Linked DNA regions of Saccharomyces cerevisiae S288C. The protein of the gene in region 1 interacts with the protein of each later gene in a biochemical or structural test. Each region holds a gene or a part of one and is shown on either strand. Other genes may lie near its edges. The genes, in order: SUI3, GCD6 and TIF5.

What was found.
Region 2: the proteins of SUI3 (region 1) and GCD6 form a complex in vitro, tested with the Saccharomyces cerevisiae proteins (4 studies listed by BioGRID).
Region 3: the proteins of SUI3 (region 1) and TIF5 form a complex in vitro, tested with the Saccharomyces cerevisiae proteins (6 studies listed by BioGRID, with this or other methods).

What each region holds. Positions count from the first base shown.
Region 1 is NC_001148.4:98,628-104,286, reverse strand, and holds SUI3 (translation initiation factor eIF2 subunit beta), read right to left. Parts: upstream 3,792-5,659; coding exon 2,934-3,791; downstream 1-2,933. Other genes in the region: RVB2 (RuvB family ATP-dependent DNA helicase reptin), read right to left, coding at 1-1,055; putative serine/threonine protein kinase ENV7, read left to right, coding at 1,585-2,679; YAR1 (Yar1p), read right to left, coding at 4,201-4,803. UniProt on the Saccharomyces cerevisiae protein: Component of the eIF2 complex that functions in the early steps of protein synthesis by forming a ternary complex with GTP and initiator tRNA.
Region 2 is NC_001136.10:879,587-886,326, forward strand, and holds the start of GCD6 (translation initiation factor eIF2B catalytic subunit epsilon), read left to right. Parts: upstream 1-5,140; coding exon 5,141-6,740. Other genes in the region: YDR210C-C (gag protein), read right to left, coding at 3,019-4,341. UniProt on the Saccharomyces cerevisiae protein: Acts as a catalytic component of the translation initiation factor 2B (eIF2B) complex, which catalyzes the exchange of GDP for GTP on eukaryotic initiation factor 2 (eIF2) and is regulated by phosphorylated eIF2.
Region 3 is NC_001148.4:645,600-650,303, reverse strand, and holds TIF5 (translation initiation factor eIF5), read right to left. Parts: upstream 1,601-4,704; coding exon 383-1,600; downstream 1-382. Other genes in the region: TIP41 (Tip41p), read right to left, coding at 1,929-2,999; IRC16 (Irc16p), read right to left, coding at 3,109-3,468; ERV2 (flavin-linked sulfhydryl oxidase), read left to right, coding at 3,266-3,856; SPO24 (Spo24p), read right to left, coding at 4,151-4,354. UniProt on the Saccharomyces cerevisiae protein: Catalyzes the hydrolysis of GTP bound to the 40S ribosomal initiation complex (40S.mRNA.Met-tRNA[F].eIF-2.GTP) with the subsequent joining of a 60S ribosomal subunit resulting in the release of eIF-2 and the guanine nucleotide.

The DNA.
Region 1 (5,659 bases):
ATTGACCTATCCAAAAGATCGAGAGGTAACCCATGTGGAGATTTGTAATTAGTCCCTCTGGTTTTGGAAACTCCTCTATTTGTAGCCATCATGACGATTGGGGCAAACTCATCTTCCAAAGCCCTATTTATAAAGGAAAAACATTCTATATCCAACATGTGGACTTCGTCGATAAATAATACACCAGGAACAATTTCTGCTTTACCTTCTTCTTTCCATTCTGCCACTTTTGTGTTTATCTGGTCTCTTACCTCTGACCTAATTTCACCGGTGTCACCAGTAAATAATGCCAAAAATCCTTGTGTTCTTGAATTAATAACATCAATTTCATGCAGTGACACCGTGTGAACCACTGTTTTCCTTTTTTGCAGTTCGCCTTCCGGACATTGAACAAATCTGGTATCAGCACCCATGGCATCATAATCCCTAGATCTAGCAAAGGATCTGCCTAGCTTGGTAATCTTCCCACTAGCTTTATCAATAGAAATAACATCGCCAGCCAATACCTTTTCTTTAGTTAGGCCATCAATCATTTTATTGCCTAATTCATAAATTGTTTCCATATCGGTAGTTTTAATAGTCAATTTTCCTTGTTTGTGTCCACCAGTAATAGATCTATCAATTTGAATTTCCACGACTTCACCTTCAATCAATTCTGTCTCCTCCTTGATTTTGATACCGATGGATTTCCTAAAAGCTTGAGTTAGTGCTTCAGTTTTACTCAATTCTAAAGAAAAGATTTCTGAGCCCGCAATAGCAGTGAATGGTACATCTTTACCCAGAGACTGGGAAACACCCATGGCAAGAGCGGTCTTACCAGTTGAAGGGGGGCCCGCTACCAAAACAGCCCTACCTGCTATGGTGCCATTTTGAACCATTTTCAATATCACACCAGCAGCACGACGGGCTTGCAATTGCCCAACCATACCTTCGGATGTGGGACGTGGTTGCAAGTTTTCATCTAGACCTAAACCTGTAATATGGGAGTGGGCAGCAATTAAAGATAACGACTTTAAATCTGATGTTTCATTTGGATCACTAGTTTGAATCGACATGCTGACAATTTTTTTTATTTCCTTTCAAAGTAACTTGTGCTAGACTGCTAGAGAAAGTAGTATTGCTGGCTTCAACTAACTGAACTTCTTTCTCTCGTTTCCCGTGTGAATGTACAGTCTTCATTTAGCTTTCATCTTCTATTGAAAACCTTCAAAAAGTTCGCTGAAAAAAATAATTTTCACGTTTCTTTCAAACTGATCACGTGAAAGGGAGTTAAATAGACTTTAATAAGTGTAGAAACAAAGAAGTAAAGAAAACCGCTATATTGGGTCTAACCAATACGACTGATACAACTGTGTTGACCCCCAAAGTTTACATAATTTGCTCTTTTTCTTTTTTGCAAGATCCTTTCTGTTTTGATAAGTCCTGTCTTATGACACCGAGTTAGGGACATTTTCGGTATCTGGTTTTGTAAGATGTTGAACCATACTTTCTCCAAAAAGACGAAACAGAGAGTAGACAAAAAGAGCCTGTAATCTCAGCGACTGACTAGGGATAAAATAACGATTGTACCATCTTATCCGATCAATGATTTCTATTGTATTGGAATTGTTCCAGAACTTGTGCTGCTGTCGCGGATTTTCCGATGCTACTATTAGGGTAAATGATAAACGATATAGGATTCAACGACTACTTGGAGAAGGTGGAATGTCCTTTGTGTATTTGGTACAACTGTCAAAGAATTCTCTGATTATAGACAACGGCATCGCAACACCAGAATTATACGCACTAAAGAAGATTATTTGTCCTAGTGTGGAAAGTATATCCAATGGTATGCGAGAAATTGAAAATTACAAACGGTTTCAAAGTCCTTATGTTATAAAAAGTATCGACTCACAAGTAATGCAGGAAAAAGATGGGTCAAAAACAATTTACATAGTACTACCCTATTATTCATTAGGGAGTTTACAAGACTCTATTAATCGGAGGTTACTCGAGGGCACCTTTGTATCAGAGGCAGAATGCGTAAGGATAATGCTTGGAGTTACAAGAGGTTTACTTTGTTTACATGATCCTGCGTCAAGACAAGATAACGCTACTTCCAGAGTAAATGTCGATGCGGTTTCTATGACTTATAGCGATGAAACGGCGATGCTCCTAGAAGACACCCCCTTAGAGATGGACATGCTTTCCTCCAACTCAGCAGGTTCAATAGCATATGCACATCGCGATATTACACCTTCAAACATTTTGTTCTCTTCAGACGGTTTACCAGTAATTGGTGACCTCGGCTCCTGCTCTCAAGCTGATATAACAATTGAAAACAGACATCAACTCAGCGAACTACAAGAATGGGTCAATGACAATTGTACGTTGCCATATACTCCACCAGAACTTCTGAACTTGAAATTAAATCAGGTTTTGAGCTCTAAGGTTGATATTTGGTCTTTGGGTTGTACGTTCTATACTTTAATGTTCGGTATCTCCCCCTTTGAGCGAGAAGAGCAGATACATGGAGCTTCTTTAACCTACGCTATAAACACTGGTAAGTACAGTTTCCCGAGAAATTCCAGATTTTCTGAGGGGCTTTTGAGTGTAATCAAGAAATGCATTCAAGTGGATCCTATACAAAGGCCTACTACCAGCCAATTATTAAATCTTTTACAAGATTTAGACACTTGATCGGTTTTGCTTCTCAAAGCTTTTTCCTGTCCTTGGGAAGTAAACAGGACACGATGATTGGCTGGCTCCATGCAATGTGTTCACTCTGATCAATGAAGATTACCTACCGCTGTTTAGATTTATTTTGTGAATGAAAATTTTTACTTTAAGTTTTTCTTCATTTAAACATTAAATATCTAATGAAACGAATAAAATACACAAGATAAACGAAATCCGTATTTATTATATATATGCTAACAGGTAAAGCACCAACATCACATTCTCCTTCTCTTACCAACGGTAGCTTGGAAACCGGTTTTAATAGAAGAGACGGATCTGGTAGAACCACAACTTTTACAGACCATAAAGAACAGTCTGTTTGACTGTTCTCTCTTCAATTCGGTGTTAATACTCTTACAAGTTTTACAAGTGACATACTCCAAAATGTATCTTCTTAAGACATTCTCCATTTGTTTGGATTGAAACTTACCCTTAATGACTAATCTTTTCTGACCGTCAACAGAACCGGACGTACCTAATTCTGCGAAGAGATATTGAATCAAATGTTCCGGAGATCTATGCAATTTTTCGGCGATATCTTGGATATTCGAGAAAATAGTCTTCTTACCATCACGCAAACAAACAGGAGGAGGAATTCTGAACTTTGGACCACTTCTATCACCAGCAAGTTCTGGATTGTTAGTTCTTAGAATATTGAAAAATCTAGATAATAACTCTGAATAAGGTAGGCCAACTTCTTGTTGAATGCTGGAATTAGCACTTGGAGTGCCTTCTTTGCTTTCAGCATCCACATTATCTAGACCAGCTTTAGCTAGTTCTTTCTCAAACGCGTCTACACTGCTGTCCTTTGTCTTTTTCTTTTTCTTCTTCAAGGATAGTTCACCCAAGGCTTCTGCTATGTCGTCAGTAGGCTCTTTTTCAGCTTCAGCATCGGCAGAAACGCTCTTGGACTTCTTCTTTTTCTTTTTTAATCCGGCAAATAAATCATCTCCTGAACCATTTTCTTTGCCGTTTACGGCAGCATCAAAATCATCTGGGATCACCTTCTTAGTCTTCTTTTTCTTCTTTAGTGCAGGGTCGAATCCTAACTCAGCAGCTAAATCGGAGGACATCTCGTGCGTGCTTATTATATGACTGGTTGCCTAGGCGCTTTTCGGTTGATGTGCAAGAAGTTTCCTAGTCTCTCTTATAATGTCTTCTTCTACTTTCTTTTTCTTTTTTTCCATCAATTTCACTTTTTCTCGCAATTACAAAATTTTTCACTCCGTCGTTGATGAGGACTCCGGCTCTGCGGGTAATGAAATGGAAAGTTCAATGCATTCAAAATATACGCTTTTGAAGCGGTTACTTAGTTTGTGAGAGAAATATACATTATTACTGTAACTCTTTTCTAAATTTTTTGTATTTATTAATGCATTTCTGCTGGTTCCATCCTTTTATCTTCTCCGGTACCAAGAAATAAAATATCATGCTCAATGGATATTACGGCTTTTATTCCACGAAGAAAACAAGCTCTTTACTTTAGTCTTTATTTATATTCAGTTTCTCGGTTTCTTCTCTTAAAGCCTCGGTGGCTTCCTTGGTGACTTGTTCAATTTCTGTACCCTTTGTGATTTGGACCGAATTCTTGCCCTCAGTTTGTGTGTCTTCTTCATCATCTTCAGGTTCGACATCATACTTCTTCAAAAAGTATGTTTCCACTTCTTCCTTCCCGCTGTTCTCGGCCTCAAAGATAGCATCGTGGCCGAATTTGTTTCTAATAAAGGGGTCTGCCTCATATTCATCACACAGTAGCTTGACCACGTCTAATTTGCCATTCAACGACGCCCAATGTAAAGCCGTGTTGCCTGTTTTGTTCACCTCATTAACAAAAGCTTTCAAGTCTTCGGCACTATTTGCGCGAGAAACCGTCTCCAGTATATACCGAACGGTCTCTATATGACCGTTGGCAGCAGCCATATGTAAAGCCGTAGAATCAGATTCACTTTCCTTACAAGTCGAAAGTAACTCGGGACTGACTAAAGTTGTAAATATATCTTTCAGAGAATCCAAATCGCCAGCTCTTGCATCGAGTATTATGGTGTCTTGGTCCTCTTGATCTAACGGTTCACTGTGTAGGCCCATATCTGCGTATATGTAGATTTTTTTTTTCTATTTGGAAATAATTACTTTCTTTGAGATAGAGCGCGAACAATTTTGCCTATCGTATTACAATTCGTTTTTGTTTTACACAAATGATAATTAACTCATCGATTTTTTCTCAGATTCTCTTTTTCTTTTATTACTTTTCCTTCTTATTCTATGAAAATTTCATATCATCGTTCATGGTGATATTACCACGGTGACATCAAATGGAATTGTCCTATTTTTCTTTTCCTGTAATTAGTGGCGCGGGACTTTTTATTCCTCGTGGCAAAGAATGGCTACTAAGAGGAGAATAAGAGATGGTTAGAAGTATTTGGAAGCTTGATGACAGAATATTTTAAAATATAACTTAGCTTGCGTGTGCGTATTTGTATTCTTCGTGGTTACGATATGAACCAACGTGCAAGCGTGTGATATATCACATTCCGGAGGGTGTCACCCCCCCTCTCTCAACACAGTAATCCATAAACCAGTTTTACATACACGTAAAAAAGAACAGGAATAAAGCTTAATCGGATTATTAACTCATACGCTTGTCACATATTGTTCGAACAATTCTGGTTCTTTCGAGTTTCGCAGAACTTTTTGAATTTTTCTTTTTTTTCTAGAACGCCGTGGAAGAAAAACACGCGCATGGTTTTATGAGCGGTTAATTCTCATCTTAATACCAACCAGGTCCTTCCGCCACCCCCTAAAACATATAAATATGCAGCTTATCCCTTCAATTCTTAACATCTGTGACCTCCTCATTTCTTCCCGCTGTATTAGAGTTCAAGAAATCATACCTGATAGAAAATAGAGTCCTATAAACAAAAGCACAAACAAACACGCAAAG
Region 2 (6,740 bases), on another chromosome or scaffold:
TTGAGTGTTGTTATGATTTTCTTATTTGCATTTAAGTCTTTGCTGAACAATATCATATCATCAACGAATAAGCAAATTGTTACTTGACTATTCTTAAATACGCATGACCATCCACGAACTTCTTCCATACCACACTGTTTTATCAGGTATGATTTGATAGTTTCGTACCAGTTCGCTCCACTTTGTTTCAATCCATAAAGTGATTTCTTCAAACGTATCAACTTATCATTCATTCCTAAATGTGGTGGAGGTCTTATGTATAATTCTTCTTTGATGTCTGCATACAAATATGCCGAAGATATGTCTAATTGTGTAATATAGTAGTTATTGTCTAATGCAAGTGACAGGGATGTCATCAACGCATAATGATGTACAGTGTTGGATTGCATACCTGTATCGTACGTATCAGGATGCTGAATGTCACCTCTTGCAACAAATCTAGCTTTATGAGTTCCGTCACGTTTCTTGTTGAAGATAAACATTGAGTTTATTACTCTTTTAGGGTCTATTTCTTTTCTGTCATAATATTTGTCAGTGTCCCAAGTATTCATTTTCAATAGTTGGTTGACTTCTTTGTGGTATGCTTCGATATATTTTTCCTTTTCTTTAATATCTTTATTATAGGTGATTGCCTCATCGTATCTTAAAGTTGTCCGTATTGGTTTGATTGATTTTACTGCTTTTACAGCTGCAATCAGGTGAATTCGTTTCTTCGATCTCGGAGGTTCTAAACTACGCATATTCTTAGTATTCCATGTGTCTCGTGATACCTTAATTTCAGTTTCATTATCTTCTAATGATCTTTTCTTACTGTTGATAGTAGTATAGGCATTAGAGTCACCAATACCACCCAAACTGGAATTAGTTTGATGAGAATTTATCGGTGGGAGTTCTTTAAATGGGTCAGGGAATTCGGTAGGAGATTCTGGAGGTAGATCAGGGAGTGGGAGATCAGCGATGATAGATTCCTCGGTATTCTGTTCAGAAACAGTAGTTGGCGTTTTGATAGGAACAATATTGTGCGATGAATTATTTTCCGGTGGAGAAGCATCGATTGAAGGTGAACGGTGTATAATCCTTTTCTCAGTCTCTTGGTCACTTATCTGCGGAACAGTTTTGTTGTTGGTACCACCCGTACTGGATATTGGTACGTTTGTATGATTAGTCTCATTTTCACTGTACGAGTCTGAGTGTCTGAAATCTTTAGATTTACTGGCGTACGACGACTCATGTGTGTTAGATTGGGACATGGGAGCAAGTAAAGGAACATCTAATCTATGCATACCACCCGAATCGGTACTCTCGATATCGGAAATTTGGGGGGTGCTAGATCTCTTCTTAGATGGAAGAATATTAGATTCAGATATGTTGGGGTCAACTTCTCTGGGTGCGCGAATATTGGTTTTAGAAACACGTTTCGAATCTTCAGTATGAGTTGACGGGGGTGTGGAATCGGTTGGACTCACAGCTTTTGAAAGGACATTTCTCGGTTGCTCAGGATATAGTTCAATATCAGATTGAAAGTCATGGTCTGATTCTATGTTAAGATCATTGGATTGTTGGATCTCATTTGACGCAATGAACGATTGATATGAAGCAGTTAAACGGTTTAAGTCTTCATCGAAAGTGAGTGCGTCGTAATTGAATTGATCTAATCTGGAGTCCTTGCCCTGAAGAATAACATAGTTAGTTGTATCTACTGTCTTCTTTAAGGATGGAAGATAGATGATATATCCATAAGAGTTTCGAGACGGATGTAGAGCGTAGCCTGGGATGCCACGAGGATGTATTTTGGAGTTAGGGTTGTGATCATTGACGATAACAGGTTGACCGAAAGGTAACAAAGTACTGATATCAAGTCCTGCCAAGCCAGCATGTTGTCTTGCAGATTTTTTGCTTTTAGGTGAAGCTAGTGAATTTCTCACAATAGTAGAAAATTCGATTGCAGAGAACCATAAATGGTTCGGTAAACCACTACATTGCAGTTGAGTACGGCAGTCATCTAATAAGGTACGGTTTAGCCGTTCAGCGACTCCATGTGCTCGGGAATCCGCTGTGGTTGTATAGCATGGAGTTATACCATTTTTTTCAAGGAATTTATGGAGAGTTCTGTTAGTATACTCAGAACCACGGTCCATTTGTATAACCAAGACACTGGCCTGAAACTGGTTTTTAATAAAAGCTAGTATCGTAGTAAAAACATCGAGGATAGAGTCCTCGCGACGGTCGTGTAATGGATAAACCCAACGGAATTTTGTTGTCTCATCAGTAAATGAGATGAAATAGGATGGTGCACTATTTGGTAGGTTGTGAACTGGACCAAATATGTCAGTATGTAGGTATTGAAAGGGTTCGTATGAATTTTGGTATTTTAGTCGTGAACCTTTGATATGTCTGTGTTTGGTGCTTTTGCCGATTAAACAATCAGGACATTGATAGTCAATAGCACTAGACCAGTCGACATCTGATTCGTTAAAATACGTGATGGTGTTATTTTTAAGTGAGTATCGAATTGTCTGTGCATTGGCATGCGCAAGCATTCGATGAATGAAAGGATAAGGATATTTGCGTGTACTTTCACTTGTATGGACATTATTGATGGTGGGTACGGAGATATTTGATGGAAGCAAGTACTTTTTAGATACCCAGTAAAAGTCTCCATATTTTACGATAGGTGCAAGTACAGTGCCGTCAGATCGTTCTAAGACGTTTTTGGTAAAGCATGCTGTGATATCTACTGCAGCCAATTCATTCAAACTGAGTAAGTCATAGGCTATGTTAGGAGTGTGCAATACCTTTATTGATGTTTTGGTGTTGTCCTGGAAGTGAAATTGTAGGTCACCAATAGCGTTAATTGGTATATTTCTTTTTTGAGCATCAACTACGTTTATGTCAGGATTAGATGATGCTGAGTGTATGTGATGAGCAGATCTTATAAGGGTTCGTGATGCTCCTGAATCGAGAAGGAGGTGTCCAGGGAGTTCATCATCAGAATGATTAGTATGATTTACTGTAGATTCAGTAAGTTTCTGGCCTAAGATGAAGGTCGTGCTTATTGTTCAATTGAATCGGTTCAGTAGTTGATTTACTGATGGAATCGTTGTCCGTGCTGGGAGAGTTAATAGATGTGGATACATTGTGAGCCCTGGCTGTTTTCGATTTCGAATTATTTGTTTTTTGAGGATTCCGAGCTATAACTTTGGGTTTGGTTGTATTCGTATAGCTGCGAGAATCATTCTTCTCATCACTCCGATTTCTCCTGTAATTAGGTTTGCTGTTTCTCGATCCCTGTTGTTCTTCATAAATAGCATGGATATCTAAGAACAGTTCAGCGACTGTCATATTTAGATGTCGATGACGTGTGTAGCGTAAAAATTTATATTCGCCAGATAGACCTCTCATAATTAATTGGCATGCGACCTTGTTATTGATATGAATGCCATTATTGTTCAGTCTGTCGATAATGTTTGTGACTTTTGTTTCAAATGCATCTGCAGGTGTACTGCCATTATATTGCAAATTTGCCAGGGTCACAATGTCGTTTGCCTCTTGGGTATCAGATTGCATTTTTTCAATACTTTTGGAAAGAATTTTCATGATATCCGTATAATCAACGGATAGGATGTCTTTGACCCAGGTAGGTAGGAATTGAGAGGGAGCAAATATTTGAAAAGTGTTATACAAGAAGGTGAGTTCATCATCAGTGATCTGACGTACGGGTTTTCCGTTTACTGTCGGAATAATACCACCGAGATTCGAGTTTTGTAAAAATTTGATGTATGTTTTAACCCAATTTGGAAAGTCATTAGGTGAGGTTAACATTGGTGGTGGTCTGACATATTTTTTAGTGGATGTCATATCAGAGTCCGCTGAGGATGAATCAGTAAATGTATTACCTGACTCAGGTGATGGAGTGCTCAGAGGCGTTCCAACTGATGATGGATACTGCGGAAACTGTGATTGTGGCCCAGGTGGAAAGTACATAGGCGACATTTGATAAGGTGTATACGGAATCATAGATGGGTGTCCGTAAAATGACCAACCAGATGGATTGGCTTGGTTTTGGGTCATCATGCACTGCTGTGGGTACGGCCCATTCTGTGGAGGTGGTACTGAAGCAGGTTGAGGAGAGGCATGATGGGGGTTCTCTGGAACAGCTGATGAAGCAGGTGTTGTTGTCTGTTGAGAGTTAGCCTTAGTGGAAGCCTTATCATATTCTTGAATTTTGGAAGCTGAAACGTCTAACGGATCTTGATTTGTGTGGACTTCCTTAGAAGTAACCGAAGCACAGGCGCTACCATGAGATATATGTGGGTAATTAGATAATTGTTGGGATTCCATTGTTGATAAAGGCTATAATATTAGGTATACAGAATATACTAGAAGTTCTCCTCGAGGATTTAGGAATCCATAAAAGGGAATCTGCAATTCTACACAATTCTATAAATATTATTATCATCGTTTTATATGTTAATATTCATTGATCCTATTACATTATCAATCCTTGCGTTTCAGCTTCCACTAATTTAGATGACTATTTCTCATCATTTGCGTCATCTTCTAACACCGTATATGATAATATACTAGTAACGTAAATACTAGTTAGTAGATGATAGTTGATTTTTATTCCAACAATGGCCTCTTTAACACTAATATCCCGACAATTTTCCCAAAATTCAAAGAATTCTCAGAAAGAGCTATTTTTTTTTTTAATAAAATTATTAGTACTAATTCCAGTATAAATAACAATGTTATTTACGTCTCTTTCGAAAATGCTCGTGTAGCTCAGTGGTTAGAGCTTCGTGCTTATAGCAACATTCGGTTTCCGAAGTTTCTGTGCCAAAGACCTTTCAAACAGGCCTTTAAAAGCAACGCGACCGTCGTGGGTTCAAACCCCACCTCGAGCACTTTCTCTTTTTTTTTCACACGCGTTTGCAACATGCCCGTATTACATGAGCTTATTTGACTTTAGATGGTTTTCAGTTCTTTTTTTTTTTTTTTTTTTTTTCAGTAGATTAATGCGAAGAGTTAAATCACCAATTCAAAGATGGCAGATGGACCACCTTGTGGGATAAGTATAAAAATAACTAAAAGTGGTCTTGTGTTAAAAATAGAATAGAAACCACTCATAAGGCAAAAGATGGCTGGAAAAAAGGGACAAAAGAAAAGTGGACTAGGCAACCATGGAAAGAACTCTGATATGGATGTTGAAGATCGTCTCCAGGCCGTTGTCTTGACAGACTCTTATGAAACTAGGTTTATGCCACTGACAGCTGTCAAGCCAAGGTGTTTGCTGCCACTGGCTAACGTACCTCTCATTGAATACACCTTAGAATTTTTGGCTAAGGCTGGCGTACATGAAGTTTTCTTAATTTGCTCTTCTCATGCCAACCAAATTAATGACTATATTGAGAATTCTAAGTGGAACTTGCCTTGGTCTCCATTTAAAATTACCACCATTATGTCTCCAGAAGCTAGATGTACGGGTGATGTTATGAGAGATCTAGATAATAGAGGTATCATTACTGGAGATTTTATTTTAGTCAGTGGTGATGTATTGACTAACATCGATTTCAGCAAAATGCTAGAATTTCACAAAAAAATGCATTTGCAAGATAAAGATCACATCTCGACAATGTGTTTGAGCAAAGCGAGTACCTATCCAAAAACAAGAACTATTGAGCCTGCCGCATTTGTCTTAGACAAATCCACCAGTAGGTGTATTTATTACCAAGATTTACCATTACCAAGCTCTAGAGAGAAGACTTCCATTCAGATTGACCCAGAATTGTTGGATAATGTCGATGAATTTGTCATAAGGAATGACCTCATCGATTGTAGAATTGACATTTGTACATCTCATGTACCTTTGATATTTCAAGAAAATTTTGACTACCAATCATTAAGGACAGACTTTGTTAAAGGTGTCATTTCAAGCGATATATTGGGAAAGCATATATATGCCTATTTGACGGACGAATATGCTGTAAGAGTTGAAAGTTGGCAAACTTACGACACCATTTCTCAAGACTTTTTAGGTAGATGGTGTTATCCCTTGGTCTTAGACTCTAACATACAGGACGATCAAACGTATTCTTATGAATCAAGACATATATACAAGGAAAAAGACGTTGTTTTGGCCCAATCCTGTAAAATTGGTAAGTGCACTGCAATTGGATCAGGAACAAAAATCGGAGAGGGTACGAAAATTGAGAATTCCGTGATTGGAAGGAACTGCCAAATCGGTGAAAATATTAGAATCAAGAACAGTTTCATTTGGGATGACTGTATCATCGGAAATAACAGTATAATTGACCATTCATTAATTGCCTCTAATGCCACGTTAGGGAGTAATGTACGCCTAAATGATGGCTGTATAATTGGTTTCAACGTTAAAATTGATGATAATATGGATTTAGATAGAAACACAAAAATATCTGCCAGTCCATTAAAAAATGCCGGCTCAAGAATGTATGATAATGAAAGCAATGAGCAGTTTGACCAAGACCTTGATGATCAGACACTAGCCGTTTCTATTGTTGGAGATAAGGGTGTTGGTTATATTTACGAAAGCGAGGTGTCTGACGATGAAGATAGTTCTACAGAAGCCTGCAAAGAAATAAACACTTTGAGTAACCAATTAGATGAGTTATACTTAAGTGACGATTCAATTTCTTCCGCCACTAAAAAGACAAAGAAAAGAAGAACGATGTCTGTCAATAGTATATACACGGATAGAG
Region 3 (4,704 bases), 550 kb from region 1:
TGACCCTTTTTTTTTCCTCTATTGTACAAGTTTTCAACAGGCTTTAGGCTCTACTTCTATTAATGATTATAATATAATGCATTACCTTTCAGAAAAATCTTCGGTAATCTCATGTTATGTATACGCATGCGATCGTGGAGCCAAATTACACCGACATTTTATTTTTTTTTTTTTACTTAATAATTAATCAATCAATCAGTGGCTTTAAAAGTCTCATCTTTGTTTTTTGCCAGTACCAAGTATGTCGCACTTGGAAGAAATATTATATTTATAAATATTTACATATCTATACATCAACGAGCTCAAAAACAACAGAACATAATCCTTATCTTACGCCATGTCATATAATAATTTACACATAAGTCTTTTGCCCCCTCCTAAGCTATTCGTCGTCTTCTTCATCATCGTCACTTTCAGCGGTTTCTAACCACGTAATGAATGGCTTAGCAGCCCTACGAACCTTTTTGGATACCTCCTTAGGTACAAATTTCTTGGATGATTTGGTACCAAATCTCATGATTTCTTCTTCCGAGATGATATCATTATTGTATAGTTGTACCAAAATTTTTGGTAATAGTGGGATTAGATCCTTATGTTCTAAACCTAAAAATCTTTCAATACCACCCATAAAGTTCTTTTCGTATTCTGGAGTGACTAAAATTTTAGTGAAAAATGCATTATGTTCAGCGATTTCGTTTACGATATCCTCATCGAATAGACATTGCGCCAAGACACAACCAATTTTTGGATCATTCAAGACGTCTAGTTCTGCAGCCTTCTTATAAAGCTCCACATCTGATGGTAAGTTCTCCTTATCTTCACCAGCCTGCTCCAAAATCCATTCACCATATTCATCCAGTTGAGTGAGCTCAGAGTTCACTTCTAGTTCCTTGGCACGAGCTCTAATGGCTTCTTCAGACATATCAACCGCCCATTCGTCATCTTTGACCTCGATATCTTCTAAGGTAGAGGCAGCCGCCTTGATTTGACGAGATAATTCATCTTCGTCTTCGTCATGATGTTGTGGAGTGGATGAGCCGGTGCCATCTGAAGGTGCATTCTGAGACTTACCTTGAGCAATATCACTAATGGACAACCCACCACCACGAACATTGGCCGAAGCGGTAGCTGCTTTCTTCTTCTTCTTGGAACCAGAAACGGAGTCAGGTGGGTTTTTCAAAATGAAGGATGATAGTTTATGTCTCAAGTCCATTGGAGTTCTCTTACCACAGGCTTTACAGTCTCGAACCAAATCATTATCTTTGGTAATGATGATCTCCGTTTCTGGATTTTTACAGCTTCCACAGAGAACAAACTTGTTAATAAAGCCATCCAATACGTCTTGCAATTTGGCAGGTTCGTGAACACCATTAACTAAATAACGATCTTTGTCAACAGAGATGGAAGTTTGAGCACCTAATTCGAAACCAAAATACTTGACAATATATGGAGCAGGTCTATTTAGCGCGTGAGAGATGTCAGCGACGTTCAAAACGGCAGTCTTGATACCGTTACCTCTACCTTCCACCTTGGCTTGGATGGGAGGCATTTTGTAACGGTAAAATGGATCATGATTATCTCTACAAATATTAATAGACATCTTGTACCAGTGAACGTGTGTTTATGCAAATAATAGGAGTTTTTTTTTTTGGAAAAAAAAGAAGAACACACGAGATACTCTTTAATGTAGTGGTGTCTTTGTAAGTCAGCAAAGTGGGAAGGAGGGGTAGGCGTTTGCCACTAATTAAATGCTAAAAGTTCATCTATTTTCTTTTTTTTTTTTCGTTCATACTTCGCGATGAAAATTTTTCACTATTTACAGAACGGGTAAGAGCATGATTTTAAGATCATTTCTTGTATGATGTATCCGGAGCTTATGTATATGTGACGTGTATGTATTTGTACGTATTGTTTTGTATATTTGATTGTTAGAACTGAATTATTTCACATTGTCTTTTGATCATCGGCGTGTTCTGTGCTACCCAATTACTATCTCTCAAGGCAGCTTTTGGGTCGTGAGATTGGGATAGCCGGTGCTTAGCAAGTACATCCTGATATTTACCTTCAAATTCCTTGGATTCTCTGATCACTACGTTTTCGTCAAACTCCACGTAAATCCTGGTGTCGTAGACCCTCACCAGAACATCGTCCACCCTTAAAAAGAACCGGCTCAGCAGCAGTAACCTTTCGTTCATAACTCTTATTTTGACGTTAAGGATTGATATGCCATTGTCTGCCAATTCGTCTTCGAAAAGAATCATGTCGTCATAGAATAGGATTTTATCGTGTACGGCCAGTTTGTCAAGGGGCAGCTTTTGATCGTTATCCAGTCGGAATTTCGACTCAGGTGAGCTCTCTGTGCCCTTATACCGCGTAGTGTAGGTCCAGTCGTACTTGTGTATGATATTTAAGGAATCGTCGTTCACATCGTTAGTGAACCGTTGCGCACCATTAGTTGAATTTTGTCTTTTTTTAGAATTTATCCAGTCGTTTGAGTACGCAACACGAATACCTGAATCCTGGAGTTGAACCTCCTTTAAAGCATCCAGGGCATTGAACTCTATGGACCAATGCTGTTTTGAATTTTCGATCCTGATGTAGTTGTTACCAAAAATCATCTCTGGCAAAGTCAAACCTTTGAGTTTTTCGTTTTCCCAGATGTCTAATTCCTGCGAGTTCAAAATGGGCTTCTTTCTGGAGGAGATGGTCCAGTCGTTGATGGAGATGGAGGGGTTGTCCTCCAAGGGTAACGTGGCCCTTGGAGATGGAATGATAACAGACCCACAGTGGAGACACTGCGGATTGTTTGGGTTATTGCAAATATGTCGAGGTGGTGTTGCTGGGGCTGCAGTTGGTTGCACAGAGGGTGTAGTGATGCCGCTAGTTGGCATGGGCATTCTTCGAGCGCGCACCGTTTGAGCGTGCATTTCTCTAGCAGCATTTATTTGAATAGTGTTTATCCCTGATGATCTGAGCGGTGGAGTGTTTCTTTTGGACATTTTTTCTGGGGAGCTGTTGTGTCTAAAGCTGCCCTTAGGTCATGTATATGGGGTGCGTAAGTATGGTGATGCATTTTGTTATTATATATTACAAGATGGAAGAGAAAGGTTAACCACCGGGTAAACGAAGCGGGAAAAGGAACCAAAAATAAAGGACAAAAGGCTTTATCATTAAACAATAAACGTGGGTGATGAAGACAAGAAGACGGGAAGGCTGGTGATTTGTAAAGAGGAAAGTCTGGACAGATTGTGCAAGGAACGAAGGGATGAAACAGATAGTCAAAAGAAGCCATGCCATCAGAATAGTTGCAGCATTAGGAATCATAGGCCTGTGGATGTTTTTCTCGTCTAATGAACTATCCATCGCTACGCCGGGCCTAATCAAGGCGAAGTCTGGTATAGATGAAGTGCAAGGGGCGGCTGCTGAGAAGAACGACGCTCGGTTGAAAGAGATCGAGAAGCAAACCATTATGCCATTGATGGGCGATGACAAGGTGAAGAAGGAAGTGGGCAGGGCGTCGTGGAAGTACTTCCATACCCTGCTGGCCCGTTTTCCGGACGAGCCTACTCCTGAAGAAAGAGAGAAACTGCACACGTTTATTGGGTTGTATGCAGAACTCTATCCATGCGGGGAATGTTCATATCACTTTGTAAAGTTGATTGAGAAGTATCCCGTACAGACATCTAGCAGGACGGCTGCCGCAATGTGGGGATGCCACATTCACAACAAGGTGAACGAATACCTAAAGAAAGACATATATGACTGTGCTACCATCCTGGAGGACTACGATTGTGGATGTAGTGACAGCGACGGTAAACGCGTGTCTCTCGAGAAGGAGGCTAAACAGCACGGTTGAACAAAGAAAGATTACATTAATCAATTATAGTAATAGTAAATTTTTTATTATTTTATATTTTAAATTTTTTTACTTTCTCAGTATTTATATTACATAAATATGTATATATCAAAAAGTTTCTGTCGTAGAAGAGACCCGATCCGAGGTTATTGAATGTAAGTGCGGGAAAGTGCAGATAGAATGACAATGAATGCTCCGGAAAAAAAAAAAAAAGTACGTGACTTACTTGCCCAAGTAAGTAAAGATGCCAAGTGTCTTTTATGCTAATAGTGTGCTAATTCTCGTGTACAACACTTACAACAGAGACAAAGAGTTTTTTCTGGAGTGTGAGCGGCTTGAAGCAGAGGCATCCAAAAGAGCGGCATTGGCAATAGCCAGATTCAGGTCATCGACGTTTGCGTCAGAGTTCTTTCTTGAGCTTGGCTGAGAGACTGGCGAAAGAGATGGGATGACAAAAGGTTGAGAAACGTCAGAAGTTAGTTCTAAAAAGGCGACCATTGTTGAAATTTTTGTTTTTTGTGTTATTTGTGTGAGTTGTCAGTAAAGCTGTTTTGTAGTTGCTTGTTTGATGATGATTTTTTATATTTTACAAGGACTAGAGGAAACAATTGTGAGAGTTGAGCTATTGGAGAAATCTAGAGACCTTATATATGTGTCTGTTCTTCATGCTAATTGAGCCCCCTCTAAAGTTCTCTTACGTTATAGAGCGTCATGACAACGATTGATCACGCAGATGACTAACCGCCAGTCACAGCGCATATTAGCGCGCAAATGAAAAGAATGACCGACCCGCCGCGGAATCGATCTCGGATTTGCGCGGGGACAGCCACACCCACCTTCCGCGGACC